Linked DNA regions of Mus musculus. The protein of the gene in region 1 interacts with the protein of each later gene in a biochemical or structural test. Links are inferred from orthologs where the notes say so. Each region holds a gene or a part of one and is shown on either strand. Other genes may lie near its edges.

Region 1 (5,916 bases):
TCTTGCGGTTGCCCTTCTGGATGCCCCAGCGGTGCGCCAGCGCCTCCTTGTGCTTGGACGAGAACTGGAAGGTACCTTTGTCCTTGTCCACCCACCAGATGCTGTCCTTCATGTCGCCGCTGCGCAGCAGGTCCAGCAGGAACTGGTACAGGCGAATCTTTTTCTTGCTGCCTGTGAGAGATGGGCAACCAAGTGGTGTGTGGACAGGATGCAAGGATTTTATGGGGACCCTCCCACCAGCTCCTCCCAGCCATGGTAGGTGCAAGCACACACGTGCCCACTCCCACTCAAGTGCACACCCCTCCATATATACAAATCCTCATAGATATGTCACGTGTATCCATACATATACCCATATCTGCTCTCACATATCTACATGCCTATCCAAAGGCCTTCACACGCAGGCACTCACACACAAGACCTACACACTCACAGGCCTTCCTCCCACACTCATAGGCCTTCACACATTCACAGGTACTCACACACATGACCTCACACACTCACAGTCCTGTATACACCCAGGCCTTCACAGATATACATACAGTCTCCCATTCACACTCCTACACAATACTGATGCACACACAGACTCTCACGCACTTTGAAATGATGCCTGTTCATTCACAATACAGACAGACTTAGAGACCTGTACAGGTAGAGAAGCATCCACAAACACGCATGTGTGCATACACATGCACATGCACATGCACACACACACACACACACACACACACCTCTGAAACATGGCTGCTGGGCCAGTTGACCTTGGCTAGGAATATGCAAGGTTCATAAATGTAAATGCAGCTACAGTCACTGGATCGGTGATGCTGGACCCTACCTGTCTCCCCGTGCAGAAGACCTGGCCCAGGCTCCAAGCCATCAGCTTCTCCATCAGACACCTCCAGGGGAGGGCTCTGCCTCTCACCCTCCTCCTCATCTGAGCTCTGCTGGTGGGCTGGGGACAAGGTTTGATAAGGGAAGCACATCCGGGGCATGTAGGAAACCTGCAAAGGGAAGAACAGGCGTGAAGTCCATAAGGGATAGCCCAGGGCTGCAGGAGGGGTCAGCAGGGTCGAGGACTAAGAAGGGAAAACTAGGGGCCAGTCTGGACCAAGACTCAGGGGTGCAGGTCTTGGTACAATGAGTTGTTAGTTACCGAGCCTACCACCCTTCCAACTGTGGCCTCTGGTTTAGGGAAGATAAAGGTATATCTTTACGCATGCAAAGGGGCCATGTGCCCTGGCAGTGCACTAGGAATAGTGGGAAGGTTCTGGGGAGCAATGAGCTGGGGCTTAATACGGAAGTGAGTGAGCCTTAATGAGGGGGTGATGAGCCAATGAATGGGCAGTGAAGGTCAGTGAGGGATGGCAGAGATCAATGGTCGGGGTTAGGACCCTGGAGCAGAGAATAGTCAGCAATGAGGATCAATAGGGAGCCAGGAGGTCTGCAGAGGCGAGCATTTAGTGACTCAGAGTCTGGGTACATGGAGAGACAGAAAATGGGGACTATAGGCAGTGGAACCCTGAGGGTCACAAGCAGGAACAGGGTGAGAGAAGATGGCCGAGGACTAGTGGATCATATGGGATCTATCCATCGTGTGTGAGACTAAGGTGTGGGTCCCTAAGGTCAGGCGGGAGGTCAGCACAGCTGTTGGGGTACCAGCTGCCGTTGGCTCTGTAGATCAGGAAGCCACGTTGAGTAAGAGCCTATGTCAGCTTCCTGTGAAGGTTCCATGCCTCACCACAGGCCTGGAGGTCTGGGGTGGGGAGGGGAGGTGGACAGAGGACAGCCAGCAGCACACACCTGGTGACTGAGGCCGGTGTGGGGTGGCACCATGGGAGTATCGAGGACGTGCATCTGTTCCAGCTCCATGTGGCGATAGAGCTGCTGTAGCTGCGGGGGCTGCACACTCTGCAGCTCTGTGAAGTGGTTCTCAGGGAAGTTCTCAAACTCGTTGTTGTGGACATGGTGTGCGGAGAAATCCCAGTAGTGATCTATGGGAAAGCCAGGGGGGAGGGTGTGAGCCAAGGTGCCCGGGCAGGGAGATGATAGAGTAACATAACATAACCATTCAGGCTGGGCAGAAAGTACGTTAATCATCTCCTGGAACATTCACGGACTCCACCGCTGCTTTATAGAAAGGACTCTGAGGCGCAGAGAGGTTTCCTAACATGCCAATGTTAAAGTCCCTAATGACAGTCACACCTGGAGCTGTCACCAGCAGCCACTGGTGTGGCTTCCTGACTGGGCCCAGAGACACAGACTTCTGAGCCCTCGTCTGAGTCCTGGCTTTGCCATCTGTTGGCTGTGTGACCTCAGCACAGGCCTAAGCCTCTCTGGCCTCAGTGGACCCACCTACAAAATAGGTAGAATTGCTATTGGGCGAATACACATAAGCTCCCACTCTAGACCCACAGCAGGCCTTGGAAAACGGCTTCCCCTGCCTCTGTGACCTTCCACAGACTCCTGGCTATCTAAAGTCACAAGCATGGGTCCTTGTCACATGATCAGGGTGTGATTGCAAAGTCACGGGGCTGACATTTCTCACATACCAGAGTTTGTCCAAACCTACAATGCTGCTTCTGTAAAACTACAGGCAGGGGCAGCCACGCCCAGGTTCCTGGGAAGCTGAAGGAAGAGATTTCCCCAGAAAGCCCCTATGGGTGTCTGGTGTCTGTGGAAGGGTGGACCCAACTCTAGGAAGCAGCCACATAGCTCTGGGTAGATCTGTGATGTGGCTTCTCCCTACACCTTTTCCAGGAACAAAAGTTGCTGCCTATCTGAGGGACTTTTGGGCACAGTTTGGTGTATGGTATGGAGCTAGCGAGATGGCTTAGCTGGTAAAAGCTCTCACCACTGAGCCTGACGACCTGAGCTCAGCGTGCGATCACACATGAACATACACACGCATATATCAATAAATGAATTTAGGAAGAAGAACGAAAAAAATGAAAATTTGGTGTTAAAAGAGGGATTTCCTCATGTGACCTGAAGGATGTGGAAGGTGATGAACCAGGGGAAGTCCTCCAGTAACCACGTGCATTTGTATGTGTGTATGTGTATGTGTGTGCATGTGTATATGTGTGCATGTGTATGTGTGTGCATGTGTATATGTGTGCATGTGTATTGTGTACATGTGTGCATGTGTATGTGTGCATGTGTATGTGTGTACATGTGTGCATGTGTATGTGTGTACATGTGTGCATGTGTATGTGTGTGCATGTGTATGTCTGTGCATGTGTATATGTGTGCATGTGTTCATGTGTATATGTGTACATGTGTACATGTGTGCATGTGTATATGTGTGCATGTGTTCATGTGTATATGTGTACATGTGTACATGTGTGCATGTGTATATGTGTGCATGTGTATGTGTGTGCATATGTTCATGTGTGTACACGCAGGCACGCATGCCTATGATCTTGCTTTTTCTTTGTCTCTCACACAAACACATCCTTTAAGAAATGACATATGCTTTCCAGCTGTGTACCAATACCACAGGACTCTTTTTGTTAATTGCTTACTGGGAGGGGCCAAATATGCTGTGCATGCGTAGAGGAACAGAATCTATTCCCTCCTTCTAGAACCTCAGGGGTCCCAAGATCAACCTCAGGCAGGCACAGTAAGCACCGTCATCTACTGAGCCCTTCACTCATCCGTATTCGTGTGTTTTTGAGGCAGGGTCTCACGCAGGCTGAATTTGAACATGTGATCATCTCGACTTAGACTTCTAAGTTTGGGCTTACATGCCTGGCTCTAGCTTTCTCATCCTGCTGAGCAGTGCTGGGCTGTATGAGCCTAAACACCTTTTTTTTCCACTGAGCCTCTGATTCCCCAGTTAAAAGGTTGTTACCAAGGCTCTGTCCATGTGCCACATCTTCTGAGTCTGGCAGCGGGACCCATCTCTAGGAAACTGCGGCACAGAAGAAAAAGTGCATGCTTTGGAGCTTCAGACAAACCCGGATGCATTTACTGCTGCATGCTCCTGGGCCTCAGTTTCCTCATCTGAGTGAGTAGTTTATACCCATTTTATCCATACACTGTGAAGGGGTAAATGAGCTATCTGATGCCCAGAGGGTGCTTAGGATAGAACATGGCACAAAAGGAGAACATTTATTCCCGTACACTCATACTGGCCCTAAAGAGCCTGCGCTAGCACATCTGTAACTTCAACAACCAGAAAATAGAGGAAAGAACATGAAGGCAAGCTAGGCATGATGGCACATGCCTTTAATCCCAGCACTCCAGAAGCAGAAGCAGAGAGGTCTCTGAATTCAAGACCACCCTGGTCTACACAGTGAGTTCCAGGCCATGTAGATAAAATGAGACCCTAACTCAAAACAAAGGTCTGAGGCCTGAATCTGGAGAGGTAGCCTGGTGGTTAAGACCACTTTTTCTTACAGAAAACCAGAGTTAAGTTCCCAGGGAGAGACAGGGGACAGTAATGGCGGTGACCAAGAGGAAGCTGGGTCTGCAATCCGAATCACAGAGCCCCATTCTGTCCTTTCGGGTTTAGTGACCTTTGATGTCGGTTCCTGGGGCTTGATTTTGGCTGTTGAGTTCACATGGCAACTCCCAACCTCCTGTAACTCTAGCTCCAAAAGATTCAACAGCGCCCTCTTCTGGACTCCTAAAGCATAGACATGTGTGTATATACACAAACACACACAAAATCACAGACACACCCACAGAGAGAGATAGGGAGAGAGACAGAGAGAGACAAATAAATATTTAAAAATATGTTTTTAAAAGTTTGAGGCCATCTTGGCCTAGAAAGCAAGATCTTATTTCAAAATAAAACAGAAAGCCCAGGGCCGTAACACTGTAGTGAAGGCACTTGTCTCTCATGCGCAAGGTCCTGCATTTGAGCCCCAGGACCAAAATCAAAGGTCACTAAACCCGAAAGGACAGAATGGGGCTCTGCAGTTTGGATTGCAGACCCAGCTTCCTCTTGATCACCACCATTTACTTTCCCCTGTCTCTCCCGCAGCCCGTTCCAGCTCCAGGGACAGGAACTGTGAGTGTTTGCTGTCCTCTAGGTGAGAGATGAGAGGCATTTGACCTAACTCTTTCTGGCCCCACCCCACCTCTGCTAGCTCTGAAGCCTAAAGCAGCATTTCCCAAAGTTGTTGTGGATGACAGACAGCAGTGAGAAGCACTGTGGGGAAATGTGGGCCTCTGCTCCCTGCTCTTGGTCTCCTGAAGGCGATGGCCAGGATGCCCTGCGCTACAACAGTTTCAAAACCTCACCTTTCCCCTTGATTTGGGTGCCCAGGCAATTATGTAACCAACAGTCTGGTAGGCAAACTCACTCCAAATTTGGGGCCCCCAGAGAGAGTGTCCAGGAAGTGAGTCAGAAAGCAAAGGTCAGCCTTTCTGGCCCCCTGAACCTTATTTCTTGTGTTTTACTCTATAACCCAGGCTGGCCCAGAACCTATGAGACACGCAGTCTGAGATAGCCTTGAGTTCATGGTGATTCTCCTGCTTCATTACAGATTTAAACCAACATGCTTGGCTCTCTCTCTCTCCCCTTTCTTTTCTTTTCTCTTTTGTTCTGTCATTGTCTTTCCTTCCTTCCCCCCTCCCTCCCTCCCTCCTTTCTTCCTCCTTCTTCCTTCCTTTTGAGACAGAGTCTCGGGTAGCACAGGCTAGCCCCAAACTTTCTGTGTAGCAGAGGATGATCTTGAAGTCTTGACCCTCCTGTGTCTACGTCCCAAGTGCCAGGATTACAGGCATGTGCCACCGTACCTGGCTTGGACAATTCTTTGTGAATGCAGTGTTTAACTTGGCTTTGTCCCTTTATTGTGCCACCTTGCCCTCTGCCTAGCGGCCACCCACATACTCTCAGCCCTTCAGAGAATGTTATGTTATTTGCATATCTGTGCCAGCTCCAATGTTCACTTTCTACATTCTGTGGGC
Region 2 (6,016 bases), on another chromosome or scaffold:
CAAGAGTCCAGACATCCATAGTACCAGCTAGGTGAGCAGACATTCACATGCTAGCAGTGTCCAGGAAAAGGTCATATTTCCCCCTTTAACATGGGAGTAGGCTCGTCTGCCTTCTCTTGAGTCTTGCCACCATTCAGACATTCCACACACTATATTTCCCATAAAAGTGATTGAAATCAAACTTTCAAAGGAAAATGTTCCTTGGGAGAGAAAGGCAGAAGAGAGCTGTAGAAAGCAGAAGAGCACACACACACACCTTCTGTATAAACTAGCCCCAGAAGTAGGGAGCCACTGGACTCCCTGAAATGATGAGCAGGTGCAGCACTCTGATTGGACAACAGCGGAGTGATTAAAAATGGCTGTGATGGGCACTGAGGACAATGTCCTTCCCTTGGAAGAACAATAGTGTTTTCTACCCAACTAAAAAGATTGTTTCTGTTAGCCACATGGCTTGCTGCACAGATGTTACCAGAGCAGGTGATTAAAATGAGATATTCTGCCACACTTCCTGGAATTCTCTAGTCTAGGCTGCGCTTAAAAACACTGGCTACTAGAAATGTCATTGTCCATCAGTCTATGCTTCCCAGAAGTAGTTCACTGGTGGTAAACTGCTCTTAGCCAATTAAAACATTCCCCACCGAGTGACCTGTTTTTGTGGAACTCCCATCAGAGGGAGTGGGGAGCTCTGTCACTTTTGGCATCCCCTTCCTCCTAGTGGGCTGCCTTAATATGAGGGAAGGTGACTAGTCTTATTGAAACTTAATATGCCATGCTACATTGATATGCCTGGGAGGCCTGCCTTTTCTAAAGGGAAAAGGATGAGTGGATGGGGAAGGAGAAGGGAGGAGTGAGGGACTGAGAGGAGAGGAGGAAGTGGAAAATACAGTTGGGATGCAATATATGAGAATAATGAATAAAAAAAAAGATTCTCACTGACAATTACCTTTAGAAAAGATAACAGGTTCCAGGATATATCATTTACCATGCAAACAAACTAACACGTTTACCTCTGCTGCTCTTTATTTTAGGTTTAAAAAAAAAAAAAACTTCTCAGGAGTTCATGGGTGGAGTTGGGGCACTGGAACAAGGGTTTAGCTGATTTCTCCTTAAACTCCATAGCTTTGCCTCCCTATCCCCAATAGATTAGGCTTCATAGAAGCAGATCAGGTAGAGTGAACCACTCTATCTGGAAAATACACAGATTGCAAAAACATATCATAACCTTCCAAAATCTTTGTGGTCTATGTGTAGTCTTTGTGGTCATATGTACCTCAGGAGTCAAACAGCACAAAAAACAGAGTAGAAGGCTAAGGATGTGGAGTGATTGCCTAGCATGCATGAGGTCCTGGGTTTGACCACCAGTATAACAATAACAAAAAAAAAAAAGGAAAAAAATAATCCTTAGAGTACAATGGACAACATGATGCTTTCTTCTTCAGTGAAATAGTGACCTGTTACTGTAGCTTTAAAGTACTCAAGACACATTCTCATGGAAAGAAAATAGGCATATGTGATAGATCAATACTAGCAAGAAAGCCATACAGTTTCTTCAAATTCTTAGGACACACTAGCTTCAGATGTCACCAGGCACTTTGAAAGGAAACTGTGTTCTAGAAGTTGCTTACGATGTTTAAAGAGCTATGGGTACAACAAATAGATAACCAGAGGGGCACCTGAGGAAGCAAACCTGTTGTAAGAATATAAAAACAAAGTAAAGGTTCCAACTCTGAGCTCAGGCTCAGATGTACAAACCTTGGAATTTTTTGACAAGCAAGACTTGGGTGTGTTTGTGAAAGTGAATGCACTCTGTCGGCCATGTGTATTAACTCATTTTAGATCATTTGTACTTTTACAGTGTTTGGACTCTTTAAGGTTCTGACATATCCAGGTAAGAAAATAAAAGCAAGTGTTTCCTAGGCTTTCTGAGTATGACTTGAATTTGAAGTTAAAAACAAACGAAAAACCAAAAGTCTGTAAATATATTTTTCCAAATCCTTGGTGGAAACTCCCCAAGGACCTAACAATCCAAATTTTATCTTTTTATAGAGATTCGACATATTTCAAAGAACCTAAGATATCAGTTTAATCATGTTATTAATTGAAATTGCTGAGATTCACATAATTCCAACCACAAACCCAAAATTCTCCTCTACAGTAATAATTACCTATTAGTGAAATTTTACTACCCAGGCCCAAATTGGTTTCATTTATGTAGTATAACAAAATATCTAGAACTTGTCCTACAACATCTCAGTCACTTAGCACTATAAATTAGTCCATTCTGTTTCATGATCGTCATCAACCACCCTGTATTTGAGCCTACTGCCTCACTGTAATGATTCCAAACAGTGGAGTCAACATGCAAATGACTCAACAGAGCCCATTTGTGTTCCTGGAAAATTAACCAAGAGTACATATCTGCCTGACTATGAGTCAGGAATATCAAATTTGTGGTGGAGCCCATTTTTGTTTTGATCAACCTATACCCGAACATACAAGGAACCAGCATAGAGGTATCCCCTAACAAGCTTTGCCCTTCAGGGGTCCATACTGAACAATGTCATACCAGGGTCTCTCTTGTGAGAGGGAATCTTTTTTAGACTCCATGATGACTTTAAACCTTTAGTGCAAAACCTCAGAAACATTGCCACTGCCACATAAAAGTCACCTGTGTTTTATTTTCAGTGATTCAGCCATAACCAAACTAAAAAGAGAATGAACTTTCAAAGATAAGTGACAGGAGTCACAGCGATGCGATGATCTCGCCCCATTTGGTACTGGCGATCCTGAGCGCTCCAGGACGAAGAGAGCCCGTTACATACAACGTCCCATTCCACTTATGTAACTGGATGATCGCTGGCGAAGGGAGGGGAGGGAGGGTGGGAAGACGCTCATATTCCGAAGCCACAGCACAGCATCCCCAAAGAACCAGAGCACCCTGCGGGCATGGTCTCACGGAAGAGCTTCGAGTGCTGAGGAACGCACAGTCCCTTGCCCACGGTTCCTGATGAGAACTACAACCATCTCTTTATGATGAGTTGTGGGACCTAGGAACATAATGTCTAGTCCTTTTTGTGGGTGGACAATAACCCTCAACTTGTTCCTGCCAAGTGGGGAATGGAGCTGATGGACCGACTCGCTTGCAGTGGGGGCAAAAAGTCACGGAATGGGAGAGGAGGAGGAGGGAGCAAAACCCAGAGATGGGGGTAAGAGCTCAGGAGCCCTTGTGGCGCACTCTCCCAACGGGAGATGGACTGCGCACGCGCGCCAGTCTGTGTGTGTGAGGGGGGAGCAAGTAACGGGAGTGGGGGCGCGCGAGGGAGAAGGGGACAGCGCGATCCAGGGAGAGGCCGGGACCGCGGGCGCGCGACAGTGCCGAGGCCCAAAGCCCCAAGAAGGGCAGGAGCGCGCGCAGCCCCAACTGGCGAAGCCCAGACGACAAGGGCGCTTGCACAGCTGGGGCCTAGGATGCGCACAGATGGGGCGGGCAGCGGGAGGGCGTCATTCGAAGGTGGCTCCAGGGAGATCGCGCTGAGAACCGTCGCTCGCGATTGCGGGAGACGAGTGGAGAAAGCCACCACCGGCGGCAGAGGGAGGGGGAGGGTAGAGAGGAGGGACGCCATCCGCCAGCCGTGTCGCCCGACCCCGCGGGCCCCTCCCGCGCCACGTCCCGCCCCTACCCGCCCCCCAGCAAGGGTCCCCGCCCGCGGCCTTGGCGGTCCCACTCACAGTCTCTCCTCCTCGCCTCCTCCTCCTCCTCCGCTCGGCGCGGCGGCGGCGGCGGCGGTGGCGGCAGCGGCGGCCATTTTCCGGACGGGTTTTACCACAGCCCTCTCTCCGAGAGGAGGGAGCGCGCGCGCAACCGATGCCGGGACCCCGCACGGCAGACGTCGCGCCCCGCCCTCCCGACCAGCCTGTGTGCTGCTGCACCTGCGCGCCCGCGCCCCACCCCTTGCTCTTTGTCGAGATTACCCTTCATTGGTTGTGGAGCCCAGGCTGGGGCGGAGCCTTAGCGGTGACGCCCTCAATTGGCAGGAGTTCCTGTCTGTTTAGGCAGGGAAAAGAGGCGGACCCCATTCAGCTGCGGATTGGTGGAGTTCTACTGTCACTTGGAAAAAAGAGGCGGCTAGGGCACAGAGGGGCTGGTTTTGTGGGCAGCATTTGAATGTTGAGGATTAACTGGGCCCTTGTGGACTCTGGCGCTTAAGGAAGTCTAGGCTCTTGGCGCCTATTAGAGCCTCCCTGCTGAGTAGTTCACCATTGTGATAAGCATTTGACTTCACCAGCATTTCTTTATTATCATTTTCTGTAGAAGTAGCAAAGTTGCCTGTTGAGGAGCCTGGCGTTGTTCCAAGCCAAGGGACTTGTTTTAAAGGGTCTACTGATTGTATTATTACACTAAATTAGCAGATGTCGCACTCTTAAGGCTGACAGTAAAATCAACATATCAAACCTTGGTCTTTGCAGACGTTTATAATGGGCAGATGGTGTGTGCCAAGCCCATAAGAGATCGGTCTGTCATTGTTGAATCAGATGGTTTGATGGAAGTACGTATAAAAGGGAGTGAGGCCAGAGGGAGCATTGTCAAAGCAGCCTTACCCTGATACCAGTCAGCATCCAATGCTCTTTGTGCTAAACAAATGCTCAACAAGAGACTTTCTTTCTTTGTTTGTTTTTTAAACACTATGCAACAAGAGACTTTCTGATTCAAATTTGGCTCCCCTCTCTATTCATTTATTTGCTAGGCACTGTTTTAGTACTGAACAAGGAGACAAACTAGACTCCTGGTAAGGAAGAGTCATACTAAACATACAAGAAAGTAGAACTTAAAATTTTGCACAGAGATAAAGACTTTGAAATAGATAGGGCAAGGACAAAAGAAGTGCTATTATGATACCCTCTAGCTTTTGCCCTCATGTCGTCTCCCAATATGGGTAATTGGGGAAAACATTCTAGGCAAGTTTAAACACTCTAAGGAAGGACTATGCCTGCCTTACTAAGGAGGCCAGTGTGACTGGAGAGAGACCTAGGCCACCAAAAGAACTAGGAGATTATTTTGAGATGAGAAGCCCTTGATAAATATTTGAGTCACTAGCTGTCACCATAAAACCTATGTTGCCAGTGAAGAATGAAGAACTGGCTGGTCCAGAGGTCCTGGCAGCAGTTGAAGAAAGATAGATGATGAAGGCTTTAACCAGGACAGTAGCAGTTGAAATCTGATAAGTTGTGATAGTTAAGATTTATGTTAAAAATTGAGCCAAAAGTATTGGATATCAGATGGAAAGAAAGAAAAAAAATAAGGATGATGGCTGACTTTGGGACAGGATCACCTAAGTGAATATCTTACTACAGTGGGGGAAATCTAGAGGATTTCCCATATGGCCATTCTAAACCATTTGTAATTCTAGTCTCAGGGAATCCTGTGCCCTCTTCTGACCACAGTGAGCACCAGGCAAAACACTTATACACATAAAATACTAAGATAGAAATGTAAAAAACAAGTGGGTAAGAGTGGTAGTGTGTGTGTGTGTGTGTGTGTGTGTGTGTGTGTATGTTGGGGTGTGAGAATACAGGTATTTGCATATACAGAGAATAGGATCTGAACTTGGGTCCTCTGCAAGAGCAACAAGCCATCTCTCCAGCCACACCTTCAGGCTGAGTTTTATTCCACGAATGCAAGGATGGTTTAAAATTAGAAATCAATTATAATTTTAAGAACAGATCATGTGAGTATCCCAATACATGCAGGAAAAAGCATTTAATAAAATTCAATACCTACATATGATTTTAAAAACACCTTAAAGAACTATAATTAGAATGTCCTTAATCTGATCAAAATGTCTATAAAGCTGTAGAGGAAACATGATATTTAATTGAGAACAAAGCAAGAAACAGCAAGATCTACAGTGCAATATCATTCACAAAAATAAAGTACATCATTTTCCTACCTTGTGAAATTTTGGGAAGAAAATCTTAAGTTCCTTAAATTAGATAAAAGAGATTTAAATGACATATT

The links. The genes of interacting proteins can lie anywhere in the genome.
Region 2: the proteins of Spi1 (region 1) and Mecp2 form a complex in vitro, tested with the Homo sapiens proteins (2 studies listed by BioGRID). The link is inferred for Mus musculus from reciprocal best matches to the Homo sapiens genes SPI1 and MECP2.

Annotation. Positions count from the first base shown.
Region 1 is NC_000068.7:91,109,330-91,115,245, reverse strand, and holds part of Spi1 (transcription factor PU.1), read right to left. Parts: intron 1,992-5,916; coding exon 1,801-1,991; intron 1,002-1,800; coding exon 836-1,001; intron 172-835; coding exon 1-171. UniProt on the Homo sapiens protein: Pioneer transcription factor, which controls hematopoietic cell fate by decompacting stem cell heterochromatin and allowing other transcription factors to enter otherwise inaccessible genomic sites.
Region 2 is NC_000086.7:74,081,781-74,087,796, forward strand, and holds the start of Mecp2 (methyl-CpG-binding protein 2), read right to left. Parts: upstream 3,911-6,016; 5' UTR 3,807-3,910; coding exon of another isoform or gene 3,730-3,806; intron 1-3,729. UniProt on the Homo sapiens protein: Chromosomal protein that binds to methylated DNA. It can bind specifically to a single methyl-CpG pair. It is not influenced by sequences flanking the methyl-CpGs.